Diceros bicornis minor: one gene and its partner. The protein of the gene in region 1 purifies or fractionates together with the protein of each later gene. This does not show direct contact. Links are inferred from orthologs where the notes say so. Each region holds a gene or a part of one and is shown in the gene's direction. Other genes may lie near its edges.

What was found. Proteins that work in one complex are often made in the same cells at the same time.
Region 2: the proteins of PDE4DIP (region 1) and PRKAR2B purify together in Homo sapiens (affinity purification with mass spectrometry; 4 studies listed by BioGRID and IntAct, counting the BioPlex papers as one, with this or other methods). This does not show direct contact. The link is inferred for Diceros bicornis minor from reciprocal best matches to the Homo sapiens genes PDE4DIP and PRKAR2B.

Annotation. Positions count from the first base shown.
Region 1 is NC_080743.1:52,080,355-52,088,080, forward strand, and holds the start of PDE4DIP (myomegalin), read left to right. Parts: upstream 1-4,392; coding exon 4,393-4,625; intron 4,626-7,726. UniProt on the Homo sapiens protein: Functions as an anchor sequestering components of the cAMP-dependent pathway to Golgi and/or centrosomes.
Region 2 is NC_080742.1:11,401,044-11,408,552, reverse strand, and holds the start of PRKAR2B (cAMP-dependent protein kinase type II-beta regulatory subunit), read left to right. Parts: upstream 1-4,289; 5' UTR 4,290-4,464; coding exon 4,465-4,789; intron 4,790-7,509. UniProt on the Homo sapiens protein: Regulatory subunit of the cAMP-dependent protein kinases involved in cAMP signaling in cells. Type II regulatory chains mediate membrane association by binding to anchoring proteins, including the MAP2 kinase.

The DNA of each region.
Region 1 (7,726 bases):
CTTTCAAACAATCCAAAACATAATAGGACACTTAATATTAAATTATCAAAATATTAAATTAATACTAATTTAATTAAGCCAAAACATTAAAATTAAAAAGTAAATTCCAAGGCCATAGAGCTACCCAAACAAAATGGTGTTATCAGAAGCCAGTGTACTACTTGGGATATGTCAGAACCACATAGCTGTTTCTGAACAGCGTAGCAGAAACTCAGCATCAAGAGTAGAGAAAGAAGAGAAAACCTTTTCAGTTTTAGCTTCTCTGGCTTACCAATCATTTTATGCCAGTTATCTGAACCTATGACTTGTAAACATAGTCTCAATTGAGAGAAATGTTTCCCATGATGAGGTTAATTATTGTGCTGTGTTTAATACATGACAAATGGAGGTGGGAATCACCTATACAAATTGTTTCCTCTTTCAGGGAAGGACACTTGAGATTTTCCTGCCTTGTTATAAAATTTAGCAATTTAAAGGTTGGCAGTCTTTTTTTCCGGTTACTAACTATGTTTTAATGAGCTTATTGATTTTGGTTTTCCACCAGCATAATCAAAACCTATTAATTTCCATTTCCCCCTTTTTTCCTGACACCCAAGGGCTGATTTGAGTGTAGGCTCTGTTTAGTGACATAATTTTCATATTCTCTTGTGCGTGTTCATTTTCAGCCCTTGCACAGTGACTCCAGCCACTGTGTAAACGCTATGAGACTGATTAGGCCTATGAAACCTGCCTCCTGATCAAGATTCCCTACTTTATTTCAGCTGGAGAATTGTCTTCAGCACATTTCTGAGTTGAAACTGCTTCTAATATTTCCGAGATATATTGGTTTTTTATTCTACTTGGGGTTTACTGAACTTCTGGAATCTAAGAAGGCAATATCTTTCATCAGTTTTAGAAAATTCTTAGTCTTTATCTCCTGGGATATTGCTTTTAGCCCACTCACGCTCTCCTCTCTTTCAGAGACTGTAATTACACATATATTTTATCTTTTGACTGTATTCCACATGTCTGTTATGCTCTGCTCTTTTTTCTCTTCTTTTTTCTGTCCTTCATTTTGGAATTTTCTATTGACCTACCTACCACTTCACTAATCCTGACTTCTGCTGTATTCAGACCGCTGGAAACACACCCAATGGGCTCTTATTTTCAGTTATTGTAATTTTTATATTCAGAATTTCCATCTGATTTTTTTATAGATTCCAATTCTATATTGAAGTAAATTATCCATTTTACATCATTGCTCATTTCTTCCTCTATTTTCTTAAACCTATTAGTCATAGTTATTTCAAGTCCTGTCAACTCTAATATCCAGGTCTGTTTCTATTAATTTTTCTCTTAGTGGTTAGTCACTTGGATTTGATTTTTAGAATGCCTCATAATTTTATCTTGGATCCTAGACATTGTGGATGAAAAAATTGTAGAGGCTATGGATAATGTTATTCAACTCCCAAGAGTTCAGTTTTGTTCTGGTATGCAGAAAGAATACTGGCAGATCAGTTTGATCCTGTAAAGACGTGGTTTTAAGCTTTGTTAGACCTATTCTATTTCAGTACTGTATTGCCCTTACTCTAATAGTGTGGCCTTTTTGGGTATCAGCTGAAAGCCCTGGGTGTCTCTCTACCTTGGACAGGCTTGAAGTCCAACTTGTGTTAGATGCTGAAATCTCTTCTTAGCTCATTAGGCTCCATACTGCTGTTTTCTGGCATCTTGCTTTGTGCATGCTGGGCTTAGGAACTGGCCCCTATTCTGAGGGGAATTTGTACCCAGATTATTGAGCTGCTTCTCTGCCATTCTCCCCTCTCTGGGGATTCTCCCTCAAGTCCCAGCCACTTTGGCAGCCCTGAACTTTCACCTTTGTCTCTTTAGCCCAGTAATACTGCCATCTTGTACTTGGCCTTTATTCTCTAGCACCTGATTTGTAAAATTCTCTCAGGAGAAAAATCCCAGGGTGAATATGGAGCTCACCTCATGTGCTTCTCTTCTCTCAAGGATCATAGATTGGATTCCTGTTTGCTTTGGCTACTCCTCAATGCCTTCCAAGACTTGTTTTTGTATTTTCCTATATTTAAATATATATAGTATTTATATATTTATTAATATTTATATATTCTATGCAATTCCACTCCCCTTGCCCAGGAGGAAAAAGTTAATCTGATACATGCTCCTCCATTTTGGCTGGAACTGGAAGTCTCAGCACTTCTTAGCTTTTGGGTTTGTGGTAATTTCGATGAACTGTTTGTCTGCCTCAACTAACGAAGATGGCATATTCTCTTTAAATTAATGAACCCATTCCTTTTAATTTGTGTATTATATAAAATCTACTACTCGTCTGTGGGCAAAGCCAAAGTCTGAGTCAGCTAGGAGAGCAGCTTCAGCTAAGTAATAGGATTAGAAGCCCGACTGCCAAGAATTAGGTGGTAAAGAATGAATGGAAGTCAGGAAGTATAGACATCAAATGAATACAATGTATTTAAGCAAACTGGTTATGAAGGGAAGTGAGAGCTATGACGGTGGTTAGAGGTGGAAGAACTTTGTTTTAGGGATGAGGAGACTTGAGCGTCTTTATAGGCTGGGGATGGAGCTAATGGAGAATGGGAGGCCAAAAATATAAAGACAACAAAAGATAATTAACACTTTCTAAGTAGAGATGAGAGCGGTAGGGTAAACTGCCCAGGGAAGATAGATTGGAAAGAAAGAGAGGTAAAGATATAGATTAAGTTAGGAGGTTTGAAAGAAAGAATAATGAGATACTTGATGAGACACTAGATAGCGTTATTTCCAAGAGGCAGTTGGAATCATGATGGGGGCGACCACTTAAAGATAAAGAAATAGTAAAGAAGTGGAATTAAAAACTGGATGAGATGGATAAGTGAGAGAGACAAGTCTCAAGTGACTCCCAGGTTTGAGGCTTGAGCCACTGGGTTGATGGTAGTGTGGGGGTTAAAAAAAAACAAGACTGAACAGCATATTTGGAAGGAAAAATAAATTAAGGGTGAGTTCAGCTTTGTTCTGTTAACCTTAAAAATAAAACAGCCAGTTATTTTACCAGAAAAATGAATTTATTTGGGAATAGTCATAGAATTGCAATTTGGAATGGGCATGCTATAGCGGACCATTGGCAAATCCAACAAACAAGAGAGAGGAATGTTATTTTATAGAGAAAAAGGAGGAAAATGGGAGGGATTGTTTTGAAGGACACTTCACTGGGGAAAAGCAAGAGTTCAGGACATTGAGAGTTTCTCATTGGCTAAGTTGCTGGGGTAGTCCATTTCTGTTTGGGATCCAATTACATTTCTTCCTGTAATTGACGGTGCTTTCCTGTTGACTTCTTTCTGTTGAGGTCTATAATTGACTTTTCTGTAATTGACCTTCAATGGTACTGCATGGCAGCTCCCCCTCCCAGCCTCCCAACTCCATTTTAAATGAGGTTTCCCTTTATTAATTTTCACAGTTCACATCGAGTCAATCAACAATAGTGACTATATTGCCTATCAACATTGGGATCGATAGTACCCACCACAAAGATAAAGCTTCTCCCTTGCAGGCTTTGTGCCATATAGAATAGTGTAGTAGAAGCATTCTGCTTTGCTGGAGACTCACTAGCTTCCATTCTTAGAGGACACTGGAATATAAGAAAACGGTTTTCAGAACAAACATTTAGTGGAGGACTTATTTGACCTATGAACTTTTTTCTAACCATGAAAACATACCCTTGACTTGATGGTGGATACCAAGCTATATATATTTTACTATGAGTTCTTCATGAAAAATGGCAATCAGAAGGCCTCAACTGAAAGGAAAACTGAGGTTGTTTAGGAGAAAGGTTTTTACAATAACTAAAGGGAAAATTGAAAAGAAGATTTTAAAAGGAGGAGAAGGCGGGAAAGAGGGAGAAAAGAGGCTAGCCAACAACCTGGAGAAGTAGTGATTCTGAGGAGAGGATAATACAAGAGGATGACTGCTTTTGAGGGAGGAGGAGAACAAAAACTGGGAAAATACGGAGAGAGGAAATGAGAAAAGGAGAAAGTTCTTGAGGTTGGAAATTGAGGATGGTGACAATAGAACGGATAGGAAAAATAAAGAATGAAGTCTGGGAAAGAAAAGCTCTCCACGTGGGGGTAGTAGGTGGAGAGAGAATGGGGAGATGATAGAGGGTGAAGAGGCAGCGGCGGATGTTTGTGGGAGAGGGACAGAGGCAATCTGGGCGGAGCAGGTGGCAGAGGCAGGCGCGGAGGAGGCCTAGTCCTTCCAGGTCTCCACCACAACAGTGGCAACTGGTGTGAATACTCATCCACGCCTAGACGATGGATGCGCCTTGTCAGTGCGGGAAGATCGTAGGAAAACCAAGCAGGGACGGTAGCTAGGACTGGCGTGGCCAGGCTCGGGAAATCCATGAACAGGACCAACAGCGGATCCTGCTGCCGCCGCCGCTGCGACTGCAGCAGCTGCTGCCGCGCATCCCGCCGGGCGCACCACGCGCCTTACTGGTCTGGGGACACGGCGCAAGCCCCACAGCCCTCGCGGCGGTCTCCCGGCCGGGAAGGACGGCATCCCGAGCAGGCTGGGAGCTGGGCAGCAGCGGCCGAGGAGGAAGAGGCAGTCGCGGCGGCCGCACCCTGGATGAGGTGAGAGCACCGCGGGTGCGCCGGAGGCTGCAGACTGCGCCGAGAGGGGCGGCGCGCCTTGCGCTGGGCTAGAGAACCGCTCCTGGGACTGGGACCCAGGGGCTGGAGACCTGGGCGCCTGGGAGGGGTTGGTGCCAAGTGACATTAGCTTGGAGAAGGTTGAAGGGCACCAGGAGTGAGGGGTGATGCAGCTGGTGGCGGGGACGGGAGGGGGAGAGACAGTGGAGGGTTGCCTAGAAATAAAGATGGGGTGCTGGATTGTACCGGACTAAATCTTGGGAAACCCAGTCTCTATCCCAAGGTCTCTGCTTAATGTGGAGATCACCCGCTTTGTTGGCGGAGATGAGGTTGAAGGCCATGCTTGTTGGGTGGAGTCAAAAGAGAGATGAATACATGATTCAGAAGGCCATGTCAGGGTGGAAGCATTAGGGATAGTAAAAGGAGATAAAGGATCAGGAAATGTGCATGGGAGTACATTTGAAAGAGTAGGCACTGCCTTCTCTTACACCCTCTTTTTAATTTTTTTTTTCATATTTATCTTAGATACAGACAGCAAGATGGGGGTTGGTGACGGTCCCTTCTTCCTAGGCTACCTCTCTTCCCCTACAGAGCTGGAGCCCTGCCTGTTGGCTGGATGAGGTTGTGCAGGACAAGCTCCACCCAAACAGGTCCCTTCCTTTGCTCTGGCTTGGAAGATCGGGCAAATGAGGCCCAAATTGTCTTCACGCAGCAGTAGCAGGATGAAAATCTGCCATGCATACGATTTTTTGGAGAAGAGACAGATGGTGCTGCTGCCTTTTTTGAAATAAGCATTTCCTTGTCATAGCATCTTTGGCTTATTCTCTTATGGGAAGCTAGTACCCATGAAACAAACTACAAGGCGATAGTGGTTTCAGTCTCTAAGCTGCCCTTAACTAACTGGGATCTGAAAAAAGTTACTCATTTCTCTAGGCCTCAGTTTCCTATGTGTAAAATCAGGATTTGGATCTTTTGAGTATTTATTACAGAACTAAATATTAATGGAATCTGTATTCTGTGTTCAGAACTATGCTTTATTTGTGAACTAGGAAACAAGTTTATTTACAGCCACTTAATTGTATTGATTCATCATACTGTCCACTGTTTATTTGAGAAGACTGAATCAAACATTCAGTTAACAGTGCTTAAAGGAATCACATTTCTATTAAGAAATCCATAATAAATTACTGCTTTTAAGAAGGAATGAAGCAAGAAGTATTCATTATTTGATTTTTTATAAAGTGAAATTTTAGCCTAAATATAAGTACTTTTTTTTTTAACATATCTATCTATGGGGTGTTGAATATTTTTTACAGAGTACTTTGGAGTTTTTTTAAAGCTTGAAACAAAAAAATTTAATCTGAATATATATTTATAATTTAAAATCTTCTTAACTACTTTATCTACACTGGGGTGACCTCCTTTCATCAAAAGAAGCATTACCATTGCAAAATTTTAAGTGGATCGTGACTTCTTATCATAAAGGTGTGATTTTTCTTACTGTCTTTGGTAACAAAAAGTTTGTAGGATTAGAATTTGGTTCTCTAAATTGTGGTTTAATTGTTAAAATAAATAGCATGCTTTAATTATTTCATTAATAGTTACTCATCTGACAAACCTCTACATTCATCTTAGTTGATGTAATGACGAGCCTTGAAATGTTTTTAAACATTTCAGGAATTCTCAAAGGAAACAGTGTCAGGGACTTCACTGAGGTTGGTGCTACTCTGACCTTCATTTAAAAATCAAGTCTCCAGGAATGTGCAGCGTACTTTTAAAAACATACGTGTCTTAACTATAATATTAGAGGTTTATGAGAATTAGAGGCTTGTACTTGGGAAGGAGTGTTTTTGGTATCCAATTTTCTAACTCCCAATCAACTAAAAAATGAAAGAAAGCAACTCTGCACACTATCCAGATTCAATTTAATTCAGTGTTATTTATTGAGCAGTGCTGGTGGAGGCCAGTACAAAACTGGATCCAAAACTACCCTCAGGTACCTGAGACTCTGTAGTTCTAAACTATGCTCATCTAACTATGTATAGTATGGAGTAAGTGCTGTAACAGAAAGATGGACTGTGGAAATAAAAAATAAGTAAATAAAAGAATATCTCTGGGGAAGGCTGGCTGACTGTGTCCCAAGAAGCCATACAAGGTGGCCTTATCTTGGAAAGTATGTGAGAATCTGGTCTTTAACTTGTTGAGTCTGTTTCTCACACTGATATTCAACAAATCCACGAGACTATGATATAAACCCAGGAAGGCAAATTATTAATTTATAATGAAGATTCTAACATCTTAGAGAATTAGACCCTCTTTTGTTATTTCAGTGAGGTCTCTGGGCATACTTGCCACATTCAGAAGCCAAATTAGAACCACAAGATTGTTTGTGAAACTTGAATTTAGAACAAAGGGGATTAATCAGTGAATTCTAAATTTTAAAAAACACTTTAAAGCTTCAAACAGAGTATCAAGGGATACAAATGGGTTCTTCCTTCCCTGGATGGTGTGTCACTAATGATCAAACTCTCTTCTCACATACACCTTTTTTCTGTCTCTGACATGCTAATATTTTCAACCAGGTCATAGTCTGTTTGGCTTGGGGAATCCTTGTGTCTGTTTCAAGTGTCTGCACATCTCTTCTCTGAACCAGTTTGTCTTCACCATAGCTTGGTGAGCGTACTTGCCCTAGGTAAAATTCATGACAGGGATAGGGAAGTGGGATTGGGGGACCTTGTTACAGCCCCTATGTCCTGGCAATATGAACCAGGTAGTTAGTGGCAACTGGATATGGTGCTAAGGGACAGTGGATCAGAGAGGGCTTCACACACTCAGGAGAAGAACTTTGTGTGGCCTAGTAAGATAATGAAGTCAGGGTTGAGGGGAAGGCAAATTTTAGCCCAGGGATACAAGCAGATGTATGGCCCTGAGAAAATGCCTTATTGAAGTGAGACCCACACTGGGACAGCACTTTTCTATGAGGATTTAATTCAAAGATGATCCTCTTTCAAGTATACAGCTATTTAAAAAGAGGAATTAAGTGAGTTGCTGATGGCAGTCTGCCTCAGTGTGTACTTTTGAAG
Region 2 (7,509 bases), on another chromosome or scaffold:
TCTCCTGTTCTTCCTTTTTTTAACTAACAAATTAAAAAAATTTTTACTTGTGGTAAAATACACATAAAGTTTACCATCTTAACCATTTAAAATCTATAGTTCAGTAGTGTCAAGTATATTCACACTGTTGTGCAACCAACCCCAGAATTTTTTCATCTTGCCAAACTGAAACTCTTTACCCATTAAACGGCAACTCCTCATTTCCCTCTTCCCTCAGCTGCTGGCAACCACCATTCTACTTTCTGTTTCTATGGATTTTGACTACCCCAGACATCTCATATAAGTGGAATCAGACAGGCTTATTTCGCTTATTTCACTTAGCATAATGTCCTCAAGGTTCATCCATGTTGTACCATGTGTCAGAATTTCCTTCCTTTTTAAGGCTGAATCATTTAAAATTTTTTATTTTTTTTTTATGTTTTTTTATTTTGGTTCTTTTGTTCTTTTGTCCTTATAAGTTTATCGTTTTGTTTTATTTTCCCCATTCCTTTAGCCATTATTTTAGTACAGTTTCCGGAAGTGGAGATAAATTTTTGAGTCCAACCTAGTCCTTAATAGGAAAATCATATTCTATTTATGAAATCTAAGGACATATTCTCTGTTGCTTTCGACAATCTCTTTAACTTTGCAAGACCCCTTAAGGAGAAGAGAATAATAAAGTTGCATTTAATCCTCATTTAGCCAAAGAAAAATTTATGCTTTGCTTTGATGTTAAGCAAAAAAGTTACTTTAAGCAGTTGTCTTTTTACTATGAGTAGAAACTCTTTCCTGGGAAAGTTAGTGTAGTGGATCTCAAGGTTTGGTCCCCAGACCTGCAGCAACAGCATCACCTGGGAGTTTGACAGAAATGCAAATACTCAGGCCCCACCTCATACCTACTAACTCTGAAAATCTGGGGGTGGGGCCAGCAACTGTGTTTTCACAGGCGCTGCAAGTGCTTCTGATGCTTGCTAAAGTTTGAGAACCACTGGTCTTCTAGAGGCAACGCTTCGCAAAACCGCATCTAGAGATTAAACATTTTGTTTAGTTTTACTCCAAATGTTTACAAGATTTTCAGGCTCTGAGGTGACCATCTTTCAGCAGACAAGTTGTGAGGCACCCCTACCACCTATAGTGCCCATCTGCGGGACTTTTCTCTCTGCTGGAGAGGAAGGCCTTGTCCTGTATTTATACTACCTGACCACTTCCTTACCCTGCACCCCACTGGCCACACTGACTGAACCAGGAGAGGAGCCCTCACTCAAGGCCAGCCAGTCCACTGGATGGTCAGGACCAACTAGCTGGATCCTCTCTCGAGAATATGAGCTAGAGACACGAGACCGTAGTCAGTGCTGAACTGCTAAAGGTATAGAAAACTGAGTGATGGCCACAGTGGCCCTGTGCAGGCACAGCCCCTGTGTCCTTTCAAAAAAAAGTAGCCCCTGCCTACTTTTTTTTCCCTTGAGTGGGTATACATTTTTTGCGCCAAAGAGACTTGATCAGGATACATCTTAACTATTGATAAGAAATGCCGTATGATTGATTGGTCGTAGTTAGTATCATCCATTGTAAAGCTTGCCCAAACTATTGGCTTCTCCACGCTCTTGTCCTCTTTTGGAACTGCATATAAACAAATTGATGTCTCTGTCCAATATGTGTTTAATTCCCCATATGTGAAAACACATTTGGTAGCGCTCTTATTGCATTCCAATGCTGAACTCTTGGAGTTCTTTTGCAATTGCTTCTGATTCTCTGAGAAACTAGTGCAAATTGCTTTGTAAATCAACAACCAAAGAATCAATATCCGTGATGTTCTTTTAAAGAATTTGAAGATAAATAGTCCCCATAAGCCACTGTCATTGTACTCCAAGGTTCAAAAGGAAATATTCTGAAAATGAAAGCAAAGGAAATCATACAATATTACCAAAATGGTTATGTGGTAGTGAATAAAAGCCAGAATATGATTTGAGGAGTGAACGTTTGTTCTGAGAACAATATTAACATAACAGGAATATCAGGATCAAGCTTTACTTTTTCAGGTCACGGTTATTGATTTAAGAATTTATGCAAACAAAAATCGTTATCAGAGAGTTGTTTGCAAAAATGTTTTAAATCCAACATGTCTTCTTTTAATATTATACTATTGTAGAATATCCCAGGATGGGAGAGACCATAAAGGTCATCTAATCCAGTTATGCATTTCCTGCTTGACTCACTTCTATACCCCTAAAGAAATGACAGCCACACGACCCTGGCATTGTGGTTGATGACAGAGCCATTTACCATGCCTCATATAGTAAATCTACAAAAAGGAATCAATGCATTTTGAAAACACAAAATATAGGATGCTACTTTGAAATATGGCTTTTGTAAGTGTTTGGAAAAGTAGTGCTTTTTTCTTCTGTTATTCATGGGGGAAAGGGTGTTAAGCATTGTGGCAGACACTATTTATTGTCCCCAGAATTGGTTGTCCGTAATCTACAAATGTCTGGTTGGCACATGACTGCTCAAAATAAAGCTTACATTCCCAAGCTTTCCTTACAGCCATGCGTCTCGGTTACTATTGCTGTGTAACAAATTACCACCAAGCTTAGAGGCTTAAAACAACCTTTGTATTATGCTCACAGATTCTGTGGGTCAGGATTTGGAACAGGGCATCACGGGGCTGGCTGCTTCTGTCATGCGATAGTGACTTCTATCAAAGCAGTCACAAGCCCATCCAGATTCAAGAGGAGGGGAATTAAGACTCCAGCTCTTGATGGAGGAGTGGAAGGTCACACGCAGAAGAGCACATGGGACAGGAGATATTTTTGCAGCCACCTTTGGAAAATGCAATCTGCCACACTATAGGTGTGGCCATCCTAAGTTCTGGCCAAGAGGACATAAGAGGAATTAGTGTGTTTAACTTTCTGGAAGTGTCCTTAGGGGGCGGATGTGTGTTTTGGGGAGGTGGGGAGAGGTTCCCTTCTCTTTTCCACTTTCCTCTTGGCTGAAATATGGATGAGACGACAGGAGGTGGGGCAGCAATTTTGGACCACAAACTGAGGATTCCGGAGCTATGAGCTGGAAAGAGCCTGGGAGCCTGATGACCATGGGAGCACCCGACCAGCCCTGCCCTGTTTACATTTACATTACAGAGAAATAAGCTGCTCTCTTGTTTAAGCTACTGTATTTTGCATTTTCTGCCACATGCAAGCAATGGTAATCTTAATAAAGACATCATCATTAATGAAGACAGATCAATGCTAATCTTAATAAAAACATCATCATAAATGTAGACAGATGATGCAAATTCATCTTAAATTACTGGAGCTATAAAGACAATAATGCCTATATGGTTTATATAATGCTTATACGATTGGAGTTTGACTAATATTGTGGGCCATGCAGTGAGGATCACAGTACTTTATAAAAGTTTACATCTTAAAATGCTTGACACTTACAATTAGAAGTACTTTACTATATTTAAAGACAACATATTATTATGAGGTTGATAAGAAACGAAAATAAAGAAAACATTCACTCATGGAATGAATACAAATTGGATTACAAACAAAGGGTTTATATCAAGATGTATTTTTATTGGTAAGTGCCGCACAACAAATGGTGCATTTGTTTCAATAAACAGTAGTAAACGCACAAAGTGGACAATGAAATAGTATCAGTAAGGCAAAACATCATAGACTGGATGGAGAAAGGCTGGAGAAAACGTGGCGAAAGAAAAAGAAAGGTGTCACAAAGATGGAGCATTATGTCCAAAAGAGAATCAGTGCCATCATATGACTTTAAACAAAAGACATTACCAACACTTATCAATAGATTCTCGGAGGAAAATAAAATGCCGCTACCGAGGTGGGGGCTGAAGTTTCAGGGCAAATCGCGCGGCACCAGCTCGGCGTGGGTTTCCTGTGGTTAATGACAGGTGGGAATTCGGCAGAGCGGCCAGCCCGCTCCGGGGAGTGCGGACAGGTGGACGGCGAAACGCGCCTGGAAGAGGGCACCCGGGTAGTGTGGAGCGGCCCCCCACGCCCCCGCTGCGCGCCGGAGCAGCATTCCCCGCAAGCCCGCCGGCGCCCTCCACCGTCTTCAGGCCGGCAGCTGCCCGAGCGGCGGGTGCGCGGCGCCCGCCGGCGGTGGTTGCCATGGTTTCCGGGAGTCACGTGGGCGCGCGGCGGCGGGGCGGGGGCGGGGGCGGGGCGGGGCGGCCGGGCGGGGGAGAGGAGCGGCCGCGGCGGGCGCGGGAGGAGCCGGAGATGCTGCCAGCCCTCCCGGGGCCGCGCTCGCTCAGCCACCGCCGCCGCTCGGAGCAGCCGCGCGCCAGGAGCTGCGGGCCGGGCCAGCCGGGCCGCCGGGGCCCAGTGCGCCGCGCTCGCAGCCGGTAGCGCCGCCAGCGCCGTCCGCGCTCGCCCGGGGGCCGCGGGGCCCGAGGCCGGTCCGCGGAGGGGGCGAGGGCGGCGCCCGGGTGCCCGCTGCCCCGGAGGCAGGATGAGCATCGAGATCCCGGCGGGACTGACGGAGCTGCTGCAGGGCTTCACGGTGGAGGTGCTGAGGCACCAGCCGGCGGACCTGCTGGAGTTCGCGCTGCAGCACTTCACGCGCCTGCAGCAGGAGAACGAGCGCAAAGGCGCCGCGCGCTGCGGCCAGGAGGGCAGGACCTGGGGGGACGCGGGCGCCGCCGCCGCCGCCGCCGCCGCCGCCGGGGGCGGCACCCCCAGCAGGGGGGTCAACTTTGCCGATGAGCCGGTGCACGCCGACTCGGAGAACGGGGAGGAGGAGGAGGCCGCGGACGCAGACGCAGGGGCGTTCACCGGTGAGGACCCGACCCCCGCACGCCCCGGCTCCCCAGTGCAGTTCCCCCTTTTTTGCCCTTTAATCCTGCAGCTTTGCTCACCCACCCTTGCCCGCCTTCTCCACCTTCCCTACCTTCCTATCTCGCCTACCCCCTCAGCATCCATTTCTGTCTCTCCCACTCGCCCACCTTCCTACTCTGCTCTCATGCCCTCTCCTCCTCGTCCCCTCCCCTGGAGGTGGGGAGCTGAAAGGTTGGGTTCTCGTCCTGGACTCAGAGGCAGAGGACGACCGGTTTGAGTGGGCATCTGAAAGACAACTTCCACTGTGGTTGGAAATATTTCGTTTGACGGGTACCATTGTGCATAAAAAACTGGCCCATTTGGCGTCCTCTTTCAGCCCTTATGTTTATTAATAGAGCGTCCAAAGAGAAGAGGTGAGGGGTGTTCAATTGGATTGGCTTTACTGTTATTAGGATGGCCAATTCACTAAAAGGAGCATGAAATTGGACTCACTGGGGCAGAACAAAATTTATGGTAATAGCTTTCATATTTTTGGAAACAGACAAATCTGTTAATTTCCCATTTATCAATACCGCATTTTGTTGTTTTTGGACACACAACAAAGGATCCTGTTTAGCCTGCGACCCATGGGGTCTTTGGAGTGAGGAAACGGGCTAATGGTTTGCTTTTTATTTAAAACAAATATTGAATGATATGGAGCCTTTTTTAAAAAAATAAAAAGTGTGTGAAAAACACTGTAGGAAGTTCTGAAAGCTTGTTGGTTGTCTTTAGAATGAAAAACCAGTGAGTAATTGTAAGGACTGTGCCAGACACTGAAGCTGGAAAGAATGAATGGAAAAGAAAAAGGAATTTTCTCAAATAGCTGCTCCTGGCAAGTCCCACCCCTTCTGCTTACAACCCTTTTTCCCTAACACACAGACGGACACGCACATTTACAGCTTCCTGTGTTTACACGACATGCCCAGATCCCATCTTTATGGCATCCCAAGGCTAAAATACCATGGTGTGCAAATGTGCAAGTGTTTTTTTCTCTTTGTGGTGGAAAGCAAACGTGCGTTGAGCGTTGCACCAGCCTTTATTTATTTACACTGCTTGTGGTTTGTGTGTCCGCAGAGCATTTCATATAAGGAAAACATTTTCAAGTGTCATTTCCTTGTGCATGTTGCTAGGAAGGTGTTTCTTTTCTTTGCAAAATTATTGAAATGTGTTATAAAATCAGTGTATTTTTAGCTTGTCCAAAATAATCACAAAAGCCCTGGAAATTAGTGCTCTATGAAGATAAAAGGGAAGATGGTTACTTTAAAAATTTTAATTTTGGTCTTGTTAATGTTTCCAGGGATAGGATGATCATAGTCTTAATTGTTCTTTTTGCGCAAGAATTTAATCAAATGCCTTTCTTATTAGAAGCAAGAAAAAGATAAAATAATACATATTTTAAGTAGATGAGAAAGAGAAGCCAATGATGGGTGACACAGAAAGGGCAGAGGCATCTAATACTTCTTTTATGCTCCTGAGACAGGCATGTACACACGCATACATACACATGCACACACACAAAGGGAAAAAGGACTTGTTTCCCATATGGGAGGAAACTAGGAATTTAGGGACTTGGTAAAGAACCTATATATGTTCGATACAATATATTGTCAGTATAACTAAAATATTTTGTTTGTATAATGCTTTTGAAGTACTTTGCATTGGTGATTCCCTTTTCTCCTTACAACAATGTGTATTGTACACAGAACAGATTTTATTTCCATTTTGCAATGAAGAAATAAGCCATTAACTTCTAAACAGCAGGGATCATTTTAAATGGTTTTATATTCTCCAAGGCACCTTTACTCTAAAAATTTCTCAGTGTGAGTTTTAAGAAATGCTTATTAACCAATTGCACTATTTATTCCCCAGCCCTAGCCCCAAGGACTTTAAAACTTTTTTGACTGCAACCAAATACAGTGTGACCATTATCCAATACACACATCTGTGTATAGGTATAACAGAAACTTTGGCAGTGGTGCTTCCTTCTACTTGGTGCAGTAGAAAACATCTACTAGAATATTATCTATTCCAATCAATTCTCTCGCTCGCTCTCGCGCTGGCGCTCCCTCTCGCTCTTGCTCTTGCTCTTTTTTTTTTTTCTGAGGAAGATTAGCCCTGAGCTAATATCCATTGCCACTCCTCCTCTTTTTGCTGAGGAAGATTAGCCCTGAGCTAACATCTGTGCCCATCTTCCTCTGTTTTGTATGGGGATGCCTTCCTCTTTTGATGAGCGGTGCGTAGGTCCATGCCCAGGATGCAAACCTGCAAACCCCTGGCTGCTGAAGCAGAGCGCACGAACTTAACCACTACACCACCAGGCCGGCCCCCAATTGTCTTGTTTTTTTTAAGCAAATTGTGTTGAGACCTGCAGTTTAAAAACAATTATAGATTACCAAGGGGTTGGCAAACTTTTATGTGAAGGGCCAGACAGTAAGTATTTTAGGCTTTGTGAGCACGATATGGTCTCCATCACATATTCCTTTTTTTTTTGTTTTTTTAACAATGCTTTAAACACATCTTCCCTTTGGAGGTTGGGGTTGTACAGAACTGGCCCCAGTTTGCCAACCCCTGGTGAGAGCAGAGAAACAAGTCAAAATTGTGCCATTGGAAAAAAAAAACAAAACAGGAATGAGCCTATCAGTTTAATATCTACATCCAAAGAAGTACCAAAACATGAGAA